3 linked regions of the Struthio camelus genome follow. The protein of the gene in region 1 interacts with the protein of each later gene in a biochemical or structural test. Links are inferred from orthologs where the notes say so. Each region holds a gene or a part of one and is shown on either strand. Other genes may lie near its edges. The genes, in order: WWP1, KLF5 and WBP2.

The links.
Region 2: of the proteins of WWP1 (region 1) and KLF5, one has a biochemical effect on the other in vitro, tested with the Homo sapiens proteins (4 studies listed by BioGRID, with this or other methods). The link is inferred for Struthio camelus from reciprocal best matches to the Homo sapiens genes WWP1 and KLF5.
Region 3: of the proteins of WWP1 (region 1) and WBP2, one has a biochemical effect on the other in vitro, tested with the Homo sapiens proteins (2 studies listed by BioGRID, with this or other methods). The link is inferred for Struthio camelus from reciprocal best matches to the Homo sapiens genes WWP1 and WBP2.

The regions. Positions count from the first base shown.
Region 1 is NC_090943.1:152,425,684-152,433,598, forward strand, and holds the start of WWP1 (NEDD4-like E3 ubiquitin-protein ligase WWP1), read right to left. Parts: upstream 3,031-7,915; 5' UTR 2,827-3,030; intron 1-2,826. UniProt on the Homo sapiens protein: E3 ubiquitin-protein ligase which accepts ubiquitin from an E2 ubiquitin-conjugating enzyme in the form of a thioester and then directly transfers the ubiquitin to targeted substrates.
Region 2 is NC_090942.1:178,477,419-178,485,305, reverse strand, and holds the start of KLF5 (Krueppel-like factor 5), read left to right. Parts: upstream 1-4,837; 5' UTR 4,838-5,114; coding exon 5,115-5,357; intron 5,358-7,385; coding exon 7,386-7,887. UniProt on the Homo sapiens protein: Transcription factor that binds to GC box promoter elements. Activates the transcription of these genes.
Region 3 is NC_090960.1:8,821,613-8,829,453, reverse strand, and holds the start of WBP2 (WW domain-binding protein 2), read left to right. Parts: upstream 1-4,760; 5' UTR 4,761-4,775; coding exon 4,776-4,987; intron 4,988-6,415; coding exon 6,416-6,524; intron 6,525-7,067; coding exon 7,068-7,203; intron 7,204-7,841. Other genes in the region: E3 ubiquitin-protein ligase TRIM47, read left to right, coding at 3,891-4,005. UniProt on the Homo sapiens protein: Acts as a transcriptional coactivator of estrogen and progesterone receptors (ESR1 and PGR) upon hormone activation. In presence of estrogen, binds to ESR1-responsive promoters. Synergizes with YAP1 to enhance PGR activity.

The sequences.
Region 1 (7,915 bases):
TGCCCTTTTGAGGAAGCAGAGTTTTTTTAAACCAAGTTAAAAGAAACTTCCATTCATTACTTAAGGAGGGCTTACAAGAGACATTTCTTAAAGTTCGCACTTGTCTATCCCTCCATCCATTCCCCCTCCAAGTCTTCTTGCTTCTTTATCTGGATTCTAGTCAAATAAACTCTAGAATGAGCTTCTGTTTCAGCAAAAAAGCTAACCACGACAGTTTGGCCTAATGGCATAAATAGTAACCATTTTTAACTAATAAGTATGGCCTAGTTCATGAATTTTTGATTAAAGTATCTGAGTTTTGAAATGCAGGGTTTTATTGGCATAGAAATTTGGGGAAAAAAATGAATAAACTGAACACAATACCAGCTTCCCATCACAGATGATGTTTTTTGGACACAGAATAGTAGAAGGGAAAGAAGAATCTCTTTCCCACACACACATTCTTTTCAAGAGTAAAAGCAGAAGAGTGACTGGGTAGAAATTCCAACTTATAATATGTGTATGGAAAAGAAAGAAGGACACAAAAAAAAAGAAAAAGCAACAGAATTGGCAGGCACTCCTCCATCTTCCAAGGGTTCCACAGAATCAGGAGAGGGGATTGGCTCTGAGGCCTGTGGGTCTTCCCACAATTTAAGAAGCGCTTGAAGACAGGTAGTTATTTTAACTTTATTGCCAACCCTTTAAAAAAAGGCACAAAGTTCACTTACAACCTTTTGTTCATTGATATTTAGCAACAAATGTAAATTAATTTCACCCAAAAAAATAGTTTATATCCTTTAGGTAACAAGGTGTCCCATGCTGACAGATCTCACCCTTGAGTATTTAAAACTGCTTGCATGATTTCAAGTAAAATTATGTATTTAAGGGAACTAATCTATAGTATCATTGGAAAAAGACTACTGATAGGAAGATCTACTAACAAGAAGCATTTACAGGATCAGATATTTAAACGAACACTTAAAACGGGGCCCAAAGAAGTAACAGAAGGATTCTGAAAACACAGATTGGTTTATAACCAACATTAGTTCAAAATATTTCTAGCTGTCCTATTTTAAAGCACCTTTGACAGCTTTCCAGATAAACTGCTTTTACAAGCTGTAAAATCCTTCTTAAAAGAATGAAAATCCCTAAGATTTTTTCTACGCAAATTTCTTAAATCTTCACTATTAAAAATCAATGAGAAATAATAATTCAGTTCATATGTCCATTTACACAGACTCAGATAAGACAGCACATAAAATTTTAAAAAAGCCCAAGTGACAAGTTGCCACAGATCATCACTAAGCAGTTTATTCCTATGTAACAAAGGGATTAAAGCAAAACATAAATTTTAAGCAGAGATTGTTATTATTACTATGAAGGCTATAAATATATATATATATATATATATATGCATGTATCTCATACATGTGAGGGACAGCCATATTTAACCCAACTGCCTGCATCCAGTGAGAGTATCATTTAGCAAGCCAGTGTTACTAAACTTGCATAACTTGAGTTTTTTAATGCAAAATATCCTGATGATTTTCTATTGGACGCAGGAACTATATGAAAATATAGCTGAAATATGAAGAGATCCTTTTTCAGAGTTTAATTCAAACATTGAAGGGCTCCATTAAAATTATTAGACAGGGTTAACTCCTTTTCTCTCTTTGACATACAGTTTAAACATTTATAGACCTGGAAGCAGAGTGAGATTACCACAGTTTAACTTGGAAGAGAACTGGTATTGTTCCAAAAATAAGACACATACTGAAAAATCAGGTAAATGAACACTTATGCTAAGTTGTAGGATCTTGTCATAATATAAACAAAGATCAATGACATGAATAAGTGTTTCAACATCTCAAATTCACACGGTCTTTTCAGCAAATCTTGCATTAAGAGAATCAGAGAGACTCGCAGACTTCAGCAGTAACAGTGATGACTTCCAACCCAGCCTGTGTCCCCTCCTGCCCCCTACACATCCTGTGAGGGATGATGATGATAGGCTGTGGGGTTACAGCAGCTCACTACAGAGGGGAGACTGCTCTTCACCTCCTCCCTCCGCTGTTTCACCAAAGAAAGGTGAACCCGAAACGCAACAATATCTTTCTCCTTTGCCTTCAGCTGGCACAGAATCAAGCAGGGTCGACCCCGCAACTGGTTCACTGCCTCCCAGATACTAACACCTCTCGCAACCCACTTGGCGTTGACACGGGTCAGGACTCAGCCCTCAGTCGCCCTCTCTCAAAAGGCCATAGACAGGAATAAACAAGGTTATTCGCCTGACATCGGATACCAGCCACACTCCCCGCTCCTTTCCCCCCCGCCCTGTACCTCCACAAGCCCACGAAAGTACCGACCCTGCTTCCCGGGCCAGGTGTGGGCCAAGAGGCCCTCCGCCCTGTCCAGACATGAGCCGGAGGGGAGGGGGGGGACACGGCAGTCCTCCCGCCACCAAACGGGGAGACTGAGGGAGGGAGGGGGAGAAGCAGCCGTCGCCACCCCCTCCTCCAGCCCCAGCAAGGCCCAGGGTGTGCGACGAGCTGAAGTGCCGGAAAGGAGAGAGAGACCAAGACCTCGCTACAGCTCCCTTCGCCATTTTAGCCCCCACGCCCATTCCCCTCCTCCCCGCCCCTCCGTGACAGGGGCAGCGGGTACCCGTCCAGAGCTCAACCCCCCACCCCCCGCCCTGGCCGCCCCCGCTCCCCCCCAGCCCCACCGCGGCCGCCGCAAAGAAGACAGAGAAAAACTGCAGCCGTTTTTCTCCTCAGGCCGGCCGGGCTCTGTCAGGCCAGATCGCAGAGCGAAACGGCTGCGGCGCAGCCTGTTTTGTTTCCTTACCGTGGTTCGCAGCTTCAGAGCTGCTGCCGCTGCCGCTGCCACCTCCTCCTTCTTCTTCTTCTCCTCCTCCTCCTCCTCGCCGCCGCGGCTCCTCACCCCTCCGCGCCACGCTCCGCCGCCGCCGCGCAGAGTGATGCCATCTCACAGCGGCATCGGCGGCTCGCGCACAACAACCCCCCTCCCGCCGCGGCTGCTCCCGCCGCCGCCGCGCGCCCCCAACGGCCGCGCCAGCCTCGTGCGCGCGCCCCGGGCAGCGGCAGCAGGAACTTGTGGAGCCGCCGCTGCCGCCCGGGCGAAAGGGCCCCGTCGGAACCAAGTCGTGCGCAGCGGCAGGCAGGCAGGGAGAAGGCGAGTCTAAAGCGAGGCCCTTCGGGAGGGAGAGGGCTTATTCCTAGCGCCTGCCCCGGGCTGAACCAACTTGGGTGCTGCGACGGGGAGAAGAGCCGAGCGAGCTGAATCAAGCCCTGCGTAAACAGGGGAGGAGCGGCCCCGGCCCCCAGCACCAGGGCCCCGTTCCCGGGGGAGAGCGTGCACGGGCAGGATAAGGGAGGCTTCTGTGAGTCACTGCCCCCCGAGAAAGCCGCTCTGCGCTGAGAGCCAGCACACCCCGGCGGCGAGTAAGTGATAAGGGAGGGCTGCCTGCTCCAGCCGCCTCCCTCCCGGGCTGCGCGCACAAGGAGGGCCGCCGCTACTGCTGCTGCTGCAGCCGCCCCCGGCCGTCACACCCTCCCCGCCCGGTCGGGAGCAACCAGGATCCGCCTGGTTGGTCTCTCTCCCTTTGCATAACTTCTACTTTTCCTATACTTAGGATAGAGGAGGAGGGGGGGAGGGAGGTCGGTTCCTCCCCGCCCTGAGGGGGGCTGGAGGGACCGGTGGAGCAGCAGCAGCAGCCCACGACGGCCGTTGGGCAGCTGGCAGGCGGGGCCGGCGCGCGGGGGCCGTTAGGGCCGTTAGGGCCCTGGGGAGGGGGAGGGGTGGTTACCTGCCGCCGCCGCGGCGCTGGCGAGGACTCCGCTAGAAAAGGCCCGGGCGGGCAGGCGGGCGCTCCCCGCAGGCTGGCAGCCGTGCGAAGGCGTGAGGCGCGTGTCTTAACGTCGGAGGCCGAGGAAGCTTTAGCTCCATACGGGACGGTATGTGGAGGCAGTGATAACGTGGACTTTCGGGTATGAGCAAAGCCTGGGAGCGGTAGCGTCGGAAAAGTCTAGCACCACCGTTAATTGGAAGGAAGAAAAGCAAACGCCAGGAGACCTTGCAGGAATTTCTAACAAAGTCTGGTATTTTGTTGCTTTTTAAGAGACGAATGCCCAACAGCCTCATCTGGGCATGTATGTTCCTTCACAATACATAAGCGAGTATCTTAAAAATAATACTTTCCAACCTATTCGTTCTTTATACAAAATCAATAGGAATACCACAAAGTCTAGGGGGTGGAAACAAAAGGTTGTGGTCTGTTCAATTTTAGGAAACATCTTAGACTAGACTTTTATAAAAGTCTAGTCTAGATCTTCTGTCAGAATTCATCATGGGCAGTAAGATTAGCTGTTTTCAGTTAACAGTGTGATTAATCCATTTGATATGAAGAATTCAAGAAATATAGTTTTCTCTACATCAGCTAAAACTTTTAAAGAAGATTACAATCCTACTTGTGTCCTGAGTTTGCCCCAAATTAACTACTGACTTAAATTAGGAAACCAATATTGCTACCCTTTGGTGACGCTTTGAGATTCAGCTAGTAATCTCCAACAATTTTTCCTTCCTGTTTTAATTTGTTGTAATGTAAAACAATCTAACAGAAATATGCAGAAAAACATCTGCACTTTAAGTAAGGACACTTCTTAATGGGGAAATAAGTTTATATTTAGGAACTTACCGTTGAATGCAACATTGCATTCCCAGCAGCCAATGGCAGGTGAAGGTGTAAACGGTAAATATGCAGCAGCTCCACTGTGGTTTACAGTAAAAAAAAAAAAAAAAAAAAAAAAGTTTGTAATGACACAGAGGATAGTGATTATTGCAAGTTTCTTAAGATGGATCAACTCTTTTCTCAGTCTTCTGTAATGTAAAGAAAGGCTGAAGAGAGGAGGAATTTGTTTTAATAGTATTCTGTGATTCTTGCTTTTTCTGATTCTGCTCTGCACATAAGCTGTTAATAGTTCTACTGAGGTTCTCCTCTTTCTAGGCTTTGTTTGTTGCTAATATAAGTAGCCTGATATGAATACTTGAAAAATATGAACATTATTATTTTTTGAGTAGATTATATATGTAAAATTGCTAGGTGCTTTTTTTTTTTTTTGCTGTACAAAACAATATTTTATGCAGAAGTTAGGCTTCTCTGGTTTGCCTCTTCCCTGTTTCAAAACAAGCTTTGTCATACATTTGTCTCACCCTGGGGTATAGTGACATCCTAAGTATTAGTCCCTCTTAAAAGACATTTGATACACTTATAAAAGCAAAATGTCCCAAATTTATTAATATCATAAGTTTACTTTTAAATATCTCATAAAACCTCAAGATTCTTTCATCTTTCAACTAGGTTTAGGGCAATAGGTAAAAAGTAGTAGTATATATGTAAGGATTGGAAACCATACATTGAAAACTAACTGAAAACATTTAAGTTATACTTTGTTAAGAATCTGAAAAAGTACAAACACAACTTTCTTCATTTTGCAGACAACCTTTGTTTCTTCTACTGCGCAGTGATCAGTAAAGACTACTGGTTCTGTTATACAGTGCTGAAGGCTAGGAGGAATGAACTTAAATTACTAGTTATCTCATTAAGCATGTAGACAACCATAGCCTGTTTCAGATGTGTTGTGTGAAACTCATGTTACAAGAAATATGTTTGTTTGTCTGTTTTTCTAGTTGCAGGTTCAGTTGAGGCAGTGCTTCAAAGCTTTACTGTTATTTAGGCGGCTGAAATCTACTGCTGACCTCAGATAAGGTCTCAGAAGTCACTACATATGTCAACCAAAGTTTGAACTTCACAGAAGTGGTTGCATGAGGTTTTACCTGAAATACAATATAAAAGCAGTTTCTGTATGCAGTATTCTTGAGGTAGTCATTTACAAGTTTACTGAATAGTTTTAAAAAAGTCTCCTAGGGTATCTTTCTGAGTTTTCTCCCCTGCCTTTTTCCCTGCAAAGTAAGGACAATTTTGGAGAACTCAGAATCAAAACTGAAATCTACAAAATATGCTGGAGTATGTAATACTTAGTATAAAACTTAGATATTTATAGATCTTTTTGTCTGGAGTGGTTGAACAATGTACATTTGGCAAGCATGAATTTCAGGATGGGGTTTTGGAAAAGGTAGGCTGTAGCAGACTGGTGTGTCTACTGGTTGGCGTTGTATCTTGCTTTTCAGAGAACATTGTTGTTCCTCCACACAGAGGATTAGTAGTGAGCGTTGCTAGCCTTTAACTAGAAGGCCAGTGACAATAGTTTTGTTCAAACTATACTTGTGGAGAAATCTTCTAGAACTTGATAGGGATGAAAGCTGTAAAATTCTAAATGAATGTCTTTACTAGCACATAAAATTAATATATAATAATATCCATTTAGGCTTCTGCTCTTTTTTAATTTCTTAGGCATCTTACCAAAGTCCTTTGTTAACCTATAATCTCCTGATAGTAGAGGATGAGGGTGAAACCAAATCTTTCTATCTTTAGTAGACTGAAATACAGGCTGATTTCACCTGAGCACAGGCATGCAGAACTCATCTTTTCATCTTTCTATATGTGTGGTTTGGGTGTTTGAACTGAGCAGAAGGTTATAATGAAGTCTTAAACGCGAATGGTTAAGTTAGTTCCTTGTGCAGCCCTATCTTCCAGCTGTGGAAAATCCAAAAAGCTCTATTTAATGAGAATAGAGGGAAGATTTCTCTGGCAATTGTTGATGTGTTTTATATGGAGACTTTATTTTACAAAACTCATACAGAATAAAAGAGAACCTTCAAATAAGTTTATTTGGACCATATCCAGAAAAGCACTTAAGCACCTGAAATGGGATTTAGATAGAACTTAAAGTTCTACCTTCAAGAGCACAAACCACAGAACCTTGTACCTGTAGTGGCCCAAGTCTTTCGATGGTTGTAGCTGGCATCTGTAAGCATGTACAGTAAGTAGTTAATGTCTTGGTTGCACCAAAAGAGCTGATGCTTGACTTATGCCTGTATTTGTTTAGGATCCAGAAAGTAGGTCAGGCATCATCTAAAATCCCTCGCGGACTGGATCTAGGAAGCATGGTTAGAGCATGCACACAAAGAATCTGAATTTAACCAAAAGATTCTATAGTTGTGATAAAGACAGAAGCAGAGGCAAACATGATAGCAATGATCACCAGGCTACAGAATCACCATGATTAGAGAACTTGGGACCTGGAAAACCTGCATTCTGTGCCCTGCTCAGCTTTAGTAGGTCCAAACCAGTCTCTTTTCCCACAGCAGTAGCATCACCAATAATTTTTTTCTGATTTGGAATCAGGGCATTCTTCATCCCTCCTCTGCTGTCTGCATGCAGCTTCACAGAGGCACATTGGCAGAGTGCACGAGAGTATTGCTGAGTGACCCAGCAATTAGGAAACTTAGCTGGAACAGGTGGAAAGTCTTAGTTTCTGATCTGTCTTCTCACCACTGTTTGCACATTTTAACCAATAGCTTTTCAATGCACAATACTGGTTCCTGTTCCAGGACTATAAACACTCCCTATAACAACTGAATATCTTCGTTGGCATGCTGTCAATGTCATCTTTTTCTCTCATTGCATAATTATTACATTGTGAAGTCAGGCTGAGTAAAATATAGCCATATATACATTTATATATATAAATACATATATATAAAAAAGTGTATATCTCTGTAAAGTTATCAAAAATATATCGTCATTACAAAATATCTCCTTTATGTGGGAGGTAAGGAGCAGCTTTTTGTCGTAATGGTGGTATATGGTTTTTTTGACATACTTAAAGTAGAATCCTGCTTTAGTCATTTTTTTAATGTGTATATTTTAAAGCCTCTCTAGTTTTGCAATGGTTAGGGAATTTGCTGTAACTTCCATTTACTTGCTGACTGGTGTATCTTCCCATCTCTCTGA
Region 2 (7,887 bases), on another chromosome or scaffold:
ATTTAGTTGTCGTAAACCTTCACTGCTACTCTAACTTACATTGAAAGAAAAATATGTTTAGCTAAAGGATAAAAACAAACCACAAGTACAACCGCACCTAGGTGCTTTTACTAATCTTTCAAACACAGCTTTGAAAGTTTTGCCTTATTTTTAACTGGGTAAAAGAGAAGCTGGCATATAATACTTGTTTTATATTTGTCTTTATTCAGCTTTGCATTAGTGAGTCTCCTTTGACCTCTAGTAGAGAAGAATTGGTTGTTTTGCAAGGTTTATATCTTTATATTCTCAAAAATTATCAAATTCAGTTCTCTGATACGGGAGTCACTATGTTCAGGAGGTTTCTATCTGACATGTTGTGCAAATTCCAGCAACAAAAAAAGGCAAGCTGGTCAAGAGAAAATAAACTCTTCACTCCCGACAGCATGGCAAAGAACTCCTGACAGATTCTGCTGGGAACAAGAAGCTTTTACTCAACTGTCCTAGGGTATACAGGGGGATTGGGAAATTCAAACAAATTTTCTGTACGTGTTTCACAATAAAGCCTGGTCCAAGAGCAAATGCAGATATTTTCCTGATCGTAAGACTGTGCACACTGCAAGAGAAGGGTGGAACTACGTGGCTAATAAATTGTTTAGAGGGGAAAGAAGTCAGGATGCAGTGGGTTTTTTTTTTTATCTAGAACGCCAGGCTGAATTAATGAGGAAGTGCTATTGGTTATTTCAGGAAGAATATCCTTTTCTCTATAGGGTTTATCACAGTATTTTTGGTAAAGTGAAATGAAAAATGGCAACCAGGCTTCCCCTTGCAGTAGAAAAAGGAACACTTATGTAAGCTAATCCTGAAATACCAACGATAAAGGTACACAGCAGTAGACTATCATGTTATCATTTTCCACATTCACTTTAACAGAAAGTTACCCTGCTACATTCCTCACTGTGGTGGTGCTATATTATGTATGTATGTTCTGAAAGCCTGTCATGAGCTAAGATGGTACCTTGTGGCTAGTGCAATCTTGTTTTCAGTGGAAAGTCAGAATGAGAAAAATGACTTTCCTGAGGAAAAAAAGGATCCTACTGGCTGTCTTAGGAAAAACAGAAAGTTAAGACCAGAATCATTTCTTCCCTTGAGGAGATGGATTCTAATGAGCAACTAGAAGTGCAGATGACTACTGATTTTGCAAGTGGAGTATTTATTTCTACTTCTCTAGTTAGTTTATATAAAAAAATGAAGTGGATATTGCTGATTCAGGACAGACCTCTGAATGTGCTAACAGCTCTTGAAATTATTATCGGACATCTTAGTATGGCTTAAAGTCTATCTCAATCCAGTTGAGATCCTCAGATTTCCCTCACCTCATCATTATGAAACAATTTATGCATGCCTTGCCAGTTCTTCCCTCTCTCTCCAAACAGTGCATGCGTAAGTCCCCCTAAATTCTGGCACCTTACCTGCTCACAAGGACAATGCCCGGTCTTCCCTCAAGTTACATCTTGTGTAACCTGTGAATTAGGAAAAAAAGAGGGCCTGTCTACTTCTCCTCCCCCATTCCACCCATTCTGAACTCTTTTGCTCCCAACCATTCTCCCCACAAGGCAGTGCAGTGATACGCCACTGCCAAGCTTCCAACTGCCTGGAACTTGACATTTGTTCTTGTTTTCTCCTGTCTTCCCTAATGGGTATAGCACTACTAAGCGAAGAGGAATGCAAAGAACAAGAGAGTTCAAAGTAATTGAGTCTACATTCATTCAGAATGTCTGGATCCTTGCCCACTCTGAACCTGGAGCATTTAAATAGTTTCAGAAAATTTAACCCTTTTTATTAAACCTGGTAATGCTCTTTCAAGTGCAGAGTATTGCCTTTTTCTCATCAGTAACTAAATACATTGCAAGGTGCTCTTCATATATTCAGCTGTAGGTACCAACCAGTAAGCGTTTTATTTCCTTTTTTTGCTTGGTGGGACAATAATCTTTATGCTTTTATCTATTATATTCTATAATATATTCACATATATATGTTTCTTACATATATCTTATATATCATATATTCTACATATTGCATATTATAACATATATATAATGCAACAGTTCTCTAAGATGCTCAGAGTCGCGTTACAGAAGAACGATCACTTACAGTAATTCCTGAATGCTTCTGCCGAAATTTATATTTACATAAACAGAACTATGCTGGGTTTTAAATAATTCATTTGGCTTTTCTGCTGCAAATCTGTCTATTAAAATATAAACTTACTTCTAACTCTGCCTGCAAAAGCAGTGAAGAAATGGAATTGTAAAAGGATTATAAATGTAAGCTTATATTTTTCTGATGATCAATTATGAACTCCTGTTTTAATTAAACGTTAATTTAGGAGATGCTCTTAGTTAGCAGTTTATTTCTAATTTTCAAATTGTTAAAAAAAAAAGCCTAAAATCTAATAAGAATGAGAATTATTAAAGCATGATACCAAATAATTTTTCACTTATCTCAACATTCTTTTAGACTATCTGTAATGTAAATAGTGCAGCACTGTGCAGGTCAAATAAAACAGTGAATCTGAGTAGGAACAAGAGTTAACCTGACCTGTCTGGTTAAGTGTTAGTGACAATAGAAATGCTAAAATAAAAAGTACCCTTTAAAAATACTATATTCTTTAGTAATCTTCCATTGACCACTGCTTGACTAAAGACTGTTAGCACTGGGCGCATGATTAGCACAAAAACATGGAGAAGGGACTGCATTTGTTTACTTGCAGTTCAGATTTAATTATGTCCTTTCAAAAAAATTAAATGCATGCAAAGCCGCTTCTGAAAATGTTAAGTATATACAGAGCTTTACTCAGTGATACTATTCTAATTAAGCTGCCAAAGTGTTTGCCAGAGCAGGCCCTTTTTAAATGTACATATATAAAACAAAAGCAAAACAAAAAAACAATTCTGAAAGTATCTGTTTATCATTAATTTAATCAGATGGAGGTAAAGCATATAATTAAAGTATGCAAGTCTCAGAAATTAGTACAGCCATACAATTTACATGAATGTCCGAAAGTTACTTATATGTGTGCTGCATGAGATGCTGCCTAGCCCTATATTCCTTCTGGACTTCTAGGACAATTACAGATGAATTAATTTCTGGGTAGCATAGAACAATATTATTAGTTTTGCATTTTTAAAGCTCTTAAGAGAGCACTGTATATCAAATTTGTCATTTCAGAGGGTCACAATCATAGTTTGACGTCTAGATGGGTTTAAACACGGTTACATGAAGCGCCTTCAGACAGTAAAACAAAACAAGGTTTTAAAATCCGTTTGTTAACACACCTGGTTTTAAGCTGGAATGGAAAAAAAGAATTAATAGTGAGGAGTCTTTGGAAAAAAGGATACAAAAGGGATACAAAAGTTATATATCGTATGAATCTGAATATGTGTTAGATTGAAATTAGTCTGCATTACTTTAAATGCTACGCTAAAGGGAGTAGCCGGATCTACCTTGGTAATAAGAAGCATCAAGTGGCTACATATTGCTAAACAGACAGTTGGTGTAAAGAAATGTTATGCTAAACTCTTTCCTGGTTCTGCAATTAGCTTTCTGTGTTCAGACTCCGAAACATCCCACTTGCCACGGACCTCAAGACAAATAGGAGGGGACTGAAAAGCTGACCAAAGAAATACTTTTTACGTTTAAAAAAAGTCTTGTCTGAAATAACAAGGCAGAAACGTGGAGAGGGAAAGGCTGCTCACATCTCTGCAAATTCACAGATTCCCTGTATACAAACCGAGAGTCCAGGGCTGGCACGCAAGATGAAAGGAGGAAACTTTTTTTTTCTTCTAGGCTCCACTTGTGGGCTGTACTTGTCTCATACAAATCTTGCCTTGTACTTGCCTCACATGAAACCTGGATGAAACCGTGATTGATGAAATCTTGTATAGAAAGGCAGCGTCCCACCTTTACTTAAATATGAGGGAACTTAGCTCACTCTCTGATGATTACAATGAAATATGCTTTATGTTGAAACCACACCTAAAAACAAGTAAATAGACTTGCCTCGTCTCAGAGGAAAAAAAAAAAAGTGAGCGAAACAATTGTCCCTATCTCTTTTCCTCTCCCCTTCGTCCTTCTCCCCGGATCTATTTTTATATTAGCATTTTCACAGTAACATAGTGGAGATGTATATTGTAATAATGAAATTTATTAGCAGGAGGTTTTGAGTACGAATTGCCTTCAGGACAAAAAATAATAAAATTTGAGTGACTAGTTTTAAAACCTTTTGAAGATGAAAGCTATGAAAGACGATTATTTAAAAATGTCTACTTCAGAAACGCTTCTTTAAAAGACTATAAATAATATTAAGATATTGAAAGGGGCCTCGCCAGACTGCTTAAACCGCGCGTGTTGAAAGCCATCTCCCACTTTGCCACCCGCACCGCGCGGCATGCCCCCTGCCCGCCTTAGAAACAAATAACCCCAATAAAAATTATCCGGGTTTGTAAAGCGCCAGATCCAGGCGGGACTCCTGACGTTTCAGAATAACGACCAGACACTCTGCCCGCTCCGCCGGGTAACGCTGCTTTCCCCCGAGGTGCTCGAGTCACCGCTTCACGCCGCTGTCAGGAACAACCCGGCACGGGTCTCCCCTCAGCCGTCTCCAACGGCCGCCTCGCGCGCGCACCGCCGTCCAGCCCGCCTCGCGCGCCCAACGGCCGCTCCGCGCCGCCCCCCCCGCCCCGCCGCGCCGTGCTGCACCGCCCGTGGCCAGCGCGCCGCGGGGAGGAGCCCGCCGCGCTCCCCATAGGGAGGGCAGCCCGCAGGGCCGGCCCCTTTCCCCGGGCTGGGTGGGGTGCGCGGGCCGGGGGGGGGTGGGGGGGTGGAGAGGGAGGTCGGGGGGTGGGGTAGGGTGAAATAGAGGCGGGCATGTGTCAGAGGATAGATACCCTCGGCCAGGTACAGGCGGCGGCACTGAGGACACCGGAGTGGATGCGCTCGTGGGCCGGGGCTCGCGGGGAGTGAGCGCCGCGCACTTGCCACCCGGAGCCCCGCCGCCGGCCAGTCCCCGCCGTGTCAGGGCGGCGCAGCGAGGGCGGGCAGCGAGTCCGTGCGCACCCGGGCAGCCAGCCTGCCTCATGGCCACCAGGGTGCTGACCATGAGCGCCCGCTTGGGTCCCATGCAGCAGCCCGAGGAGCCGGTGTTCGCCCAGCTCAAGCCCGTGCTGGGCGCCAGGGAGGCAGCGATCTTCCCCGGAGAGGATCTGAAGCAGCAGCCGCCGCCGCCCCAGCAGCAGCACCAACACCCGGGCGGCGGCGGCGGTGGCGGCGGCGGCGGCGGTGGCGGCAGCGCGACCCTGCCGGCGGAGGAGATGGTACAGGTAGGCAGGGACCACCTCCCCCCGCCGCCGCCGCCGCCGCCGCCGCCGCCGCCCCTCTGCCGCGGTGGGGCGCCGCGCGGGCGGCGGCCGCTGCGGAGAGGCGCTGGGTGGGGCCGGGCAGCGAGCAGCGGACCTGAAGTGCGGGGCGGGCGGCGGCGCCGCCGCACGGCGGGACGGGGGGGTCGGGAGGGGGGGGCCGGGGCCGCCGCCGCCCCGCGCGTGTGGCGGGCAGGGGCGCGGCGCCGGGGCCGCCGCCTTCCCGCCGGCGGAGCGCGGCCGGGGCGGGCCGAGGCGGCCCGCGGCGCGGCCGGGGCTGAGGCGGGGCGCGGGCTTCGCCGCCCTCCCGCCCGTCCGCCCGCACAGGGGCCGAGGCGGGGGCGCGGAGGGAGCCGGGCTGCCCCTGCGAGTGTGTTGAAAGCTACAGCTGCTGCTTTTGCACTTGCCCGGCAGCAGAATTAGAGCAACCGCCTGTCTTCCTCGCCCACGCAGAGAGTCATGTTCAGTGTTGGGGGGGGGGGGGGACTTCCCGGGACTTTCTGCCCGTCCCAGAAAACTGCTTGGAAACGGATCCACATGAAAACAGCTGGAAGAGCTAAAAGCAGAAAGCGCCAACCGCAACCTGATTTTAGCACGCGAACGGTTTTAATTTGAGACTTTTTATTTCCAGACCTCGGCTCTTTCGGTGACCATGAGTCGCTGGGGCGGTTTGCCGCGGCCGCTGTCCTTGCGGGGGGGCGGCGGGGGGCCCCTGTGGCCCTCCCCACCCCGGGGGGGCGCCCGGCCGAGGAGCCCGCTCCGAAACGGGGGCCGGGGGCGGCCCGCTCGGGCGGCAGCGCTGCGCGGTAAACGCCCCGCGCGGAGGGCAGCGATCGTTCAGGCGCTGCGTTTCGGTGATACCTGCTCACGGAATAAATAATACTGTCTTCAAAGCAGGCTGCCCCGTGGCTTGTAAACAAGAGCTGGAAAAAGTAGCCTGGCGTGTTCGGGCAGATCGAGATCAAAGGAGAGGGAGCGCTGCTTTGTTTGTTTGTTTTGTTTACCGGTGGTCTTTGAAGAAAGGTCTTAAAATCCACTTTTGGGCAGACTTGCTGTTTGTCAGCTGCTTTCTCTTTTAGGGTGCTAAACGGATTCGGTATGAGCGCGCTCTTTACAGGGCAAGGGGGAATGTAGCATTTGCCCACTGGAGAGTGCATGATAAATGTTTTGCTGATGACTGTACCAGTAATGTATCAGGCTGTAGCCACCCACGGATTCCCTAGCACCACTACACTGAGGGAATGATTTCCCAGTAATTAAAGAGCTCTCCTAGGACTGAGACATGAATAACGACGTTTGTCACGTTATTAACCAATTATACGCTGCACAGACTTTTTTTAAAAGTGTTAGTGTAGTCCCAGACGCACTTTAAGCAAAGGAAAAGCTAATGTAGGCAACCTGTCCTCTTTTTATTCTGTATGATTTATAACTCTACACTTTGGTACCAGTCATATTTATAACTTTCTTTTAAGCATGAAAAATCCTAGAAGTATAACATCACATATATGTGTGTATGTATATATATACATATATATACATACATTGTTTGAAGTATTAGCATTCAAATAGCCAGCTGAGGATGTGGCTTTTGGAGTTAGCATTTCAAAGAGAAATGCATGAAACAGGCAGTAACCTTGTTAGAACAGTGAATTCCAAAGTACAAGATCTGTAGGTGAGTCATGCAGCCTATCGTTTTTGTACGTAGTACTCTCTTGTAGACATACAAGACGAAAAGTTTGTCATAGCTCAGTCTTAACAGTTGTTCTACATTGATGACTCGCACCATCATTTTATCTTGATGTTTTTGATCAGCATGCCAGGTATAAAAGGCAGTTTTTTCGTTAGTGTGAATTGTTTAAAGATTCCTCTATAGGTGACCAGCAGTTGGCTAAACAGTATTGTTTGTTATATTCAAAGTCTCACGTGACTTGAATGCCATCTTGTTTGCTAGCTGATAACGAATCATGTGGATTATCTGTTTTGTTTTTCTAGACGAGATGTGAAATGGAGAAGTATCTGGCACCTCAGCTTCCACCCGTTCCTGTCATCCCTGAACATAAGAAATACAGAAGAGACAGTGCCTCAGTTGTAGACCAGTTTTTCACTGACAGTGAAGGGTTGCCTTACAGCATCAACATGAACGTCTTCCTCCCTGACATTAGTCACCTGAGAACTGGCCTGTACAAATCTCAGCGACCATGTGTGACCCACATCAAGACAGAACCAGTCACTATCTTCAGTCACCAGAGTGAAACTACTGCCCCTACCCCTGCCCCTACTCAGGCCCTTCCTGAATTTACCAGCATCTTCAGCTCTCACCAAACTCCTGATGTGAACAACATTTTTATCAAGCAGGAGCTTCCTACTCCAGATGTTCATCTTTCTGTCACACCCCAGCAAGGCCAGTTATATCAGCTCTTGAGCTCACCGGATTTAGATATGCCCAACACTACTACTCAGGCAGCCGTAATGGACTCCCTTAACAATGTTTCCA
Region 3 (7,841 bases), on another chromosome or scaffold:
TAAGTGATAGTTAGCAAAAACAACTCTCGAGGAAGTATCCCGTCTGGCAAAGGTGGAAACTTCGGGCTGAGGCTAGATGGCAGTTCACGTTTTCTAAAGGAGCTCTTTCAGGTCCGCCGCCCTGGAGATGTGACGGCGGCGGCAGGGAAATCCTGCTGCTAACGGCAGCACAGGCAGCTCCCTGTCTCGGTGCAGCGCGCCTTTCTAGAAGTTTATTTTTTCTGGGGTTAGTTTGTTACCTACCTCCTGAAGCTTGCTTTACAAAAACTTAATGCTGTGTACTGTGTAATATATAACTAGAGAGGGATTCGTCCGACGAATCGGTCGGATTCGTCTCTGGCATGAGTGAGTCACTGATGACGCATCGGCCTCCAAAGGCATGGAAAATGGCCCATTTATCTATATATATGAAAAAATATATATCTCCCAGAGGATGAGCTGGAAATCATAGTAGTATATTCAAGGGGAGCCAGGGAGAAAAGGCAGACACATGGCCAAGAGGTTTAAAGCTAAAGCCGCATTTACATAAACACTGAGGCTTAAAGAGCTCCTTTACTGTAACTAGTCAAAGGGCCCTGATTTACCGGCGCTGCCAAATCCTGCTACCGCAGGGAGAGGGGCTGCTCTCCGGCTGCCCGTCCGTCCCCCTGCCAAAGCTACCACCTCCGCGGCGCGTCCAAGCTGGACGTGCCAGCGACGACCACCGCTATCGGGTCCCAGCGGGAGGACGGGAGGGTGCGAATGCAGCTGGCGGACTGATGTGCCAGCTCTGAGCCCCCCGCCGAGCGCTGCTGCCGCCCCGTGCCCTGGGCACGGGGACGGAGGGCTGGAAGGATCAGCCGTCGTTGCCCTAGGTGCTCTCGGGGCCCGTATCTCGGACCTGGTGGAGGCGGTGAGCCCTGAAACCCTGCAAGCGGTGGGAAAAGGGAAGGTATGTCTTTCAGCGCTAAATCTTCGGATGAAATCTCGGTTTTTTGCTGGTCAGTGGGAATGTTGCCTGGACTCGTGTCCGGACAGGATTGTGCTCCTCGCGTCCTGAGCTCCTGCCTCAAAAACGCTTTGTTTCCCTCGCGCCAGCCTTTCCTGCCAATCTTTGCCTTTGCGTGAGCTGTCGGCGGTGACATAGCACAGGGATGGGTGCTGTTTTGTTAACACCAGGGAGGACTCGCTATCAGAAATAGTGTAACCAGATTAAAGAGCTAGAGATGTGCAACAGCCCATGCTTGGCTGTGTCCCAAGAGGAAGAGGAAGGTAACCTTGATCTCTGCTGAACGCCTGCAGGAAGAGATCCTGCTTGTGGGCCAACATCTCGGCTCTGTCTGGGCCCCAAATGTGACTGTTATTCAGGCGAAACTCCCACCGTTTGCAGCGAGGAGTTTTGCCAGAGTAAACAGAGCAGATCTGGGCCGTTGCCCTGTTTTGCATGGCCGTAGGCAGCTCGATTACACCCTGGAGGGACCGCGCGCTTGGGGAGCCGCGGAGCCCTCCCTGCTCCATCGCGCCCAACGCGGAGATGCAAGTCTCTGAACCCCTGCAGGGTCTGGGATGGCTTGGAGGGATCCTACGCTTTTCCCTTTCCTCTCTGTCCCTGTTGCCAAGGGGGAATTGCCGTGCGTCCGGGCTCTGCTTCCGGTGGTGCCTTGGCTTTCTGCGGTCGAGGGCCAGTTGCTTAATTCATCTTTGCCTCATTAGCTGGGATGCGGATACACAGCTTTACAGAGGATTTCAAGGGCTTCTGTAGATGTGATGCAGCTGGAAAGCATTATCAAAACCTCCCCTTCCTGTTGCTGCTTTTCATTCTGGTTGAAAGTGCTATAAATCCTCATGTTTCAGGGCATAAAGCAAATTCTAAACAATTTCAGATGGGAACAATCCTCCAGGCTGTTGGACCAGAGTTTGCTCAGACACGTTGATCCTGTCTTCCCAATAATTTGTGGTGTAAACTGGAATGATTAGGAAATGTGCATTACACCAACCCTGGATCTCTGATTTTTGCTGCAAATGAAAGGATAAGTGTGGTGGGTTTAGATAGATAGCACTGTGCAATTTAAATAGCCTTTCTGTGTTCTCCTGAGTTATTTCTGCTGTCACAGAGTGTTCCTCTTTTTAATTAGGATTATTTTTTAAATATACAGTTACTGTAGAGTCTTTTACAGTGTGTGAAGAAACTGTAACGGAATAATATAATGATATTAGAGACTATGAATTGCCATTAAATATTATACAGACATAGCTCTTGGTTTGTCTTTCCTTTAAATACCAAACTAGAAGAGTTGTCCGATTACCTCCTGTTTATTTTTCTGTGTCCTGTACATCTGGCTTAAAATAACAAGAGATTTTATTTTCCACGTGTGTCAAAAGGAATTGAGCCAAATATTTATTTTTATTGCTCGATTGCAAAAGGAATGGAAGAATCCTAGAATCCAATAGTGATATTGCCAGTCCTGGGCAATTCAAAATATTAACTTGTCTCACTTTTCTCTTTGGGTCTCTTCTACCTCTGTCCTCAGCTTAACAATAATGAAATTAAGTAGTTTAGGCACTTTTTTCCTTAGAGTTTTAAGTTTTTAGAGTGTAAATTTCCAACGTTTTTTATGTAATGAGGCGGTCCAGAGATCTCCACGCACACAAGCACTTGTACCAGTAGCATTTTTTAAACAAAGGCTGAGTTTCTTAATACCAAACCTCTACAAGAAAAACACCATTATCGGGCAAGCTGTGACTCATGAGAGGTGGCAGTGCTTCAGCTGGGAACTTCAGTGGAAGCTGAGTGGATGTTTGCTACTGCCTTTAATAGGAGAGGAATCAGGACTGTTTATTATAACAGTTTCTTAAAAGGGAAACTTACAGCTTATTAAAAAGCGGATATGAAAAGCACAACTTTGCTTTTTTCTTGCCAAGAACTATACAGATTATGTCACTGCATTTATTTAAATCTGGTTTCCATTATGCAGCTTTTCTCCTTTCCCCTACTCCATCTGATTCTTAGGTGCTCAGGCAGGGCTGGAGGGGGCTGGGCTGCAAACCCTGCAGGGAAAAGTTCAAATCCATTAAAAGTAATTTAGAAAAATATATGTTATCAATATATTTGCATAGTATATAGGTTATTGATATGAAGAAATGTTCAGAACAGATTGATTAGCTTTAAAGGGCTTCTATTTTAAACAAAAGTATGCAACCATAATTTTTTAAAAGTTACTCCCACCTCCTTGCTTGCCCACCTGGAGGCAGTAGACTATACTCATAGTATAGCTATGCAAATGCCACAGATATTTTCCTGTTCCCAGATTTCTTCCAGACGTGCCTTAGAGTCCCTTCAGTTTAACTCTCTTGAAGATAAAGGCTTAATTTTACAAACCAAAAGCAGGGTGATTTCTGCACAGAGAGCATTTAATATTGGGCTCCAAAGTCTGTTTGCAAGCATCTGTAACACAACGTGTGCGTCAAGCATCTGAATTGAAAAACAGTTGGAAACTCTACGCATCCTTGCTGTGAAAGGCACTGGGCCTCATTTTAGATAAAGCATCACCAGCTATCTGAGATGCTTTTTTTACTCTGCATTACCAAATACCTGAATTTGCCCTGGCCACCTACTGAGAGTCCAATTCTGTCTCCGTTTCATTTATTTCTGGCTTTTCCCTGGGAGATCCTGCCAAGCAGCATTAAAATCACTTATGGTTGCACGTGGCATGCAAACAGCTCCCCCTTTACATGTTAAACTGGACGACATCCCAGGAAAAGCGAATATTTCATGTGCTAGCGGGCTGGCCTGGAAACGCCTTCGGGAAAAAGCGACGGTGCAAGCCGCAACAAAATACAGCGTTTTAGGACGAAACGGCAATTTGAGCAGTGCCAGAGGTTTTTTTGCTTTGCTTTTTTTTGCTTTGCAGGCTCCTACCCAGGCAGCGCAACTTTTCCAGGGCGCCCGTGCGAACGCCACGGAGCCGTCTGAAACGGGAAGCCAGGAAGACCGCGGCCGAGTCAAGCAGGCTCCAAACAACTTAAACCGTGTTATTATATACGGTGAGAGGGACATGTAACCAGATGATTAACAGGTTTCTCAGCGCTTCAGAGAGTCCTCCCGAGGAGCAGGAGAGCGGATCTTCGGATTATCCCTGCTGCTCCCTGCAGAGAGCATAAAGAGGGGGTTTAATAACATATGAACGGCGACTTTTAGCCCACTAAAAGTAATATTGAGTATAAAGCGATTATAAAACAGTTGACTTTTGGCTCTCGGCTGGAATCCCTTAGAATATCTGTAAGGCACCAAGCGCACGTGGTGCCGCCGGGCAGCGCGGGGAGGAATTTGTCGTTCGCCTCGGTATCCACCGCAAACATTTCCCCGTTCAGCCGCGGCGGGCGCCCTGAGGGCCACGCGCGAGCCCGGCGGGGCTCCCGCTTTTAGCGAGGGCGAGCCGTTGTCGGCATGAACGTGCTGGGAGAGGTAGCGTATTTTAGGAGGCTAACTTCAGCAGCTGGGGAACAGAGACAAGCTTTCAGGCCCAGGCAGAGCGGCGCGGTGCGAGGGAGCCGCGTCTCCGCCTCCCGCTCCCACAAACGTCCCTTGTTTTGTACAAAAGCCCTACTGATTGCCAGGCCTTGAGGGATGGCTAGAGCCCCTGGGGCTTTGGGGGGCACGACGGAGGCGGTGAGCGAGGCCGCGGGGCCTGATGCTGGGCAGAAAAGGGATGGGAGCGCCCCGCAAGCCGGCCCGGCCCCCGCTGCAGCCTGTCCCGGGCAGCCCACGGGGCGCTAAGGGCTGCTGAGGAGGGAACATGGCGCCCGCTGGGCTGCAGGGGGACTACAACTCCCAGCATGCGCTGGGGGGAGGGAAGCGCGCCCCGTCGCGTCGTGACGTCACGGGCGGCCGCTATCCGCCGGGCGCAGGCGCAGAGCAGGCTGGGTGCTGCGAGGAGGCGGCGGCGGCCATGGCGCTGAACAGGAACCACTCGGAGGGCGGCGGCGTCATCGTTAACAACAGCGAGAGGTGAGGTGCCCCCACCGCGCCCGCCGCCATCTCCTCGGGGAAGTAGGGGGGCGGCCTCCCTCCCCTCACGGGGGGAAGCGTTAGGGCGCCGCGGGCCGGGTGGGGGCGGGGCCCCCCGTGCCTGGAGCGGGGTGGGGGGAGGGTTTAACCATTTCAGTGCCCCCCCCGGCGGGGGTCGGGCTGTTGCCCCCCTTCCCCCCCCCCCCCAGCCCGGGCCCCCATCTCGCCGCTCTGCCGCCCGCGCAACGGGAAGCCTCCACGGAGCTGCCCCCGCCTGCCGGGCGGTGGGCGGCCCTCGCCCCGTGTGCCCGCCCGGCGCCCCGGTCCCGACCCGGCGGGGCAGTCAGCTGCTCCCGAGACAGAAGAGGGGTTCATTCCGCAGGGCTCCTTTCCGTGAGGCCAGCTGGAAGATTGGTACGGGAGTTATGCCCCTGACTGCCATTAGGGGTATGAACCTTCCTCTGAGAATTCGGGGAAACTCTTGTCTGTGGCTTAAGTTTGCGTTCGCTGACGTAAAACATCTGGCTGCTTAATGTGCTCCCAGCTGCCAGCCTACCTGGGGTCGGAAGTTATCTGCGCTATAACCGGCAAAGCGGATGCGTGCCCGTGCCGCAGCCCAAGCTGCGCGCATTGTTGATTCGGCTCATATGCTGTATAGTGACTAAAGCCACTGCCCCCTCAGCCTTCCCTGGGCTTTTGCTGTGGGGGCAAGTACCCACTGGCAGAAGGGAAAGGCGAATGACTAGGGATGGTAACATGTACGTTGCCAAAGATAAATGCAGCAGAGGCTTGTCCAGCTTTGAATGTTAGCGTGTCTAGTGTGGATGTTGTGTTAATACCTGCTACCTTCTGCATCCATAGAAGGGTGTTGCACCCGTTTTAACCGGGTCAGTTTCTAATTGAGCATTAAGGAGTCAGGGCGGACACCACAGGTTAACAAACTCTAGTGACAAAAAAGAGATGTTCCTCTGATTGCGTTTTTATGATAGAAGTGCTTAAGCTGAGGTTAGACGCTCAACAGCCTTGTCGCATAAGCCAGCTTAAGCAGTTCCTGCCTCTGCACTCCTTCCTCTGTTGTGTTGCTTGTGGCAAACCAAATTAGGGAACTGATCCAGCAGAAATGCAACGCAAGTTTTTTAAAAAAACAAAAATCAGATCTTGATCAGTTTAATTGACTAGATTCACTACCTGCCTATGCGAATGGCTGTAGCAGTGCCAGCACACTGAGGAAGAAGCACAAGGCTGGGAACAAGTAGATAGTACTGCTTAAGTTGTTCCTGCCAACAAAAAAACAAGTCAAACTGATACATCTGCTGAGCGTTTGGCTGAGATTAAAGCTCGTTTTGGTTGGTCAATAGACTATATTCATGCTGAACCACAGTGTTGAGCTGTAACACTGTGTCTCTTCTCTTGTTGTCTTGTTTGTAGCGTTTTGATGACCTATGATCACATAGAAGTTTCCTTCAGTGATATCGAACCTATGCCAGATGCCTTCAAAGGGACCAAGAAAGGGAGTGTTTTCTTGACTCCCTACCGAGTAAGTAGTAAAAGGCATTATCTTGCCTAAGGAGATAAGAGCTCTTTTCAATTCTGTGTTTAAATGTTCTCAGTGCATGAAAGTTGGGATAACCTACTGCCGCTTGAAGTATGGCTCATCCCCTCCCTCTGGGGAGCATTATGAATTCATTGCACGTCCAGTCACTTTGTCAAAAGATGATAAAATCTGATTAGTTCTTATACAGACAGCTGCTTACTCTATCAGGCATCTTCAAGATTGGAAATTAGCAGTGGTCTGGAAGTGCTGAATGTAACAGTTAAGCTACTAAATCATAGCTGTGTGGAGCTGGGAGTTCTTTAGAAATTGGGAGGAGTATTATCTGAGCAAGGATAACGTTTCTAGAAGGCACTTTACATTATTGCATTGAAGCTTTAGTTTAGCCTTGTTGCTCTTTGCAGAATTGACTAGAAGTTTCAGATGTGGGAAGCAGCTTCAGTGCATTGAAAACTCTTTTCAAATAAGAAGTTCAACTGTGTTTCCTGCTTGTTTTAAACACTCTTCGTGATGTTCTTTTCTTTTCAGGTTATCTTTGTATCAAAGGGAAAGGATGCTATGCAGTCTTTCATGATGCCCTTTTATTTGTTGAAAGATTGTGAGATTAAGCAGCCTGTTTTTGGAGCAAATTATATCAAGGGTACAGTGAAAGCAGAGGCAGGAGGTATGTATTATACAGACGTGCAGTTGAACTAAGATGGAGAACATCTAATTCACAGCGAAGTAAGTATCCAGTTTGACCTAAACTGGATACTGACCAGATGGATTTTTACAGTCCCGCTAAAATGTGTTTCTTTCTTTAAAACCAGTAGCTAAAAATATTTCCCTTGTCTGCTTCCTGTACAGTTACAATGAAGAGATCTGTTCTGTAACTGATCTCATTCCTGCCCTCTGTACAAAATATTAAGTTCAGTCAGCCAAGTGATCTCACTGACTGAACATCGGAGCAGAGATCAGACTGTGTCAGCAAGACTGAGGATATCATTTAGTTTTGGTCAGTTAGGGTTATCTATTAATTCTTCATCCAGATCCTTCTACGCAAAACGCTTCTGATTCTTTCCAAGACCTATGTTGGTTTTCAGATGCAGATCGCCAGAGTATTGTTCTCTGTCATTAGTTTCTTGTACAGTTCAAGGAAAGGCATGTTATTGCACCAGTGTATCTTAGCAGTAAAAACGACACTTTCTGGGGAAAGAACAGGCTATTTTGAAATTCAGGAGTCTTCAAGGGGCTGTTTCGTATTATGTTCAACAAGGGAAGGGTAGACGTTTTTTCCAAGAAGAAATGTACTTTACCACTGTC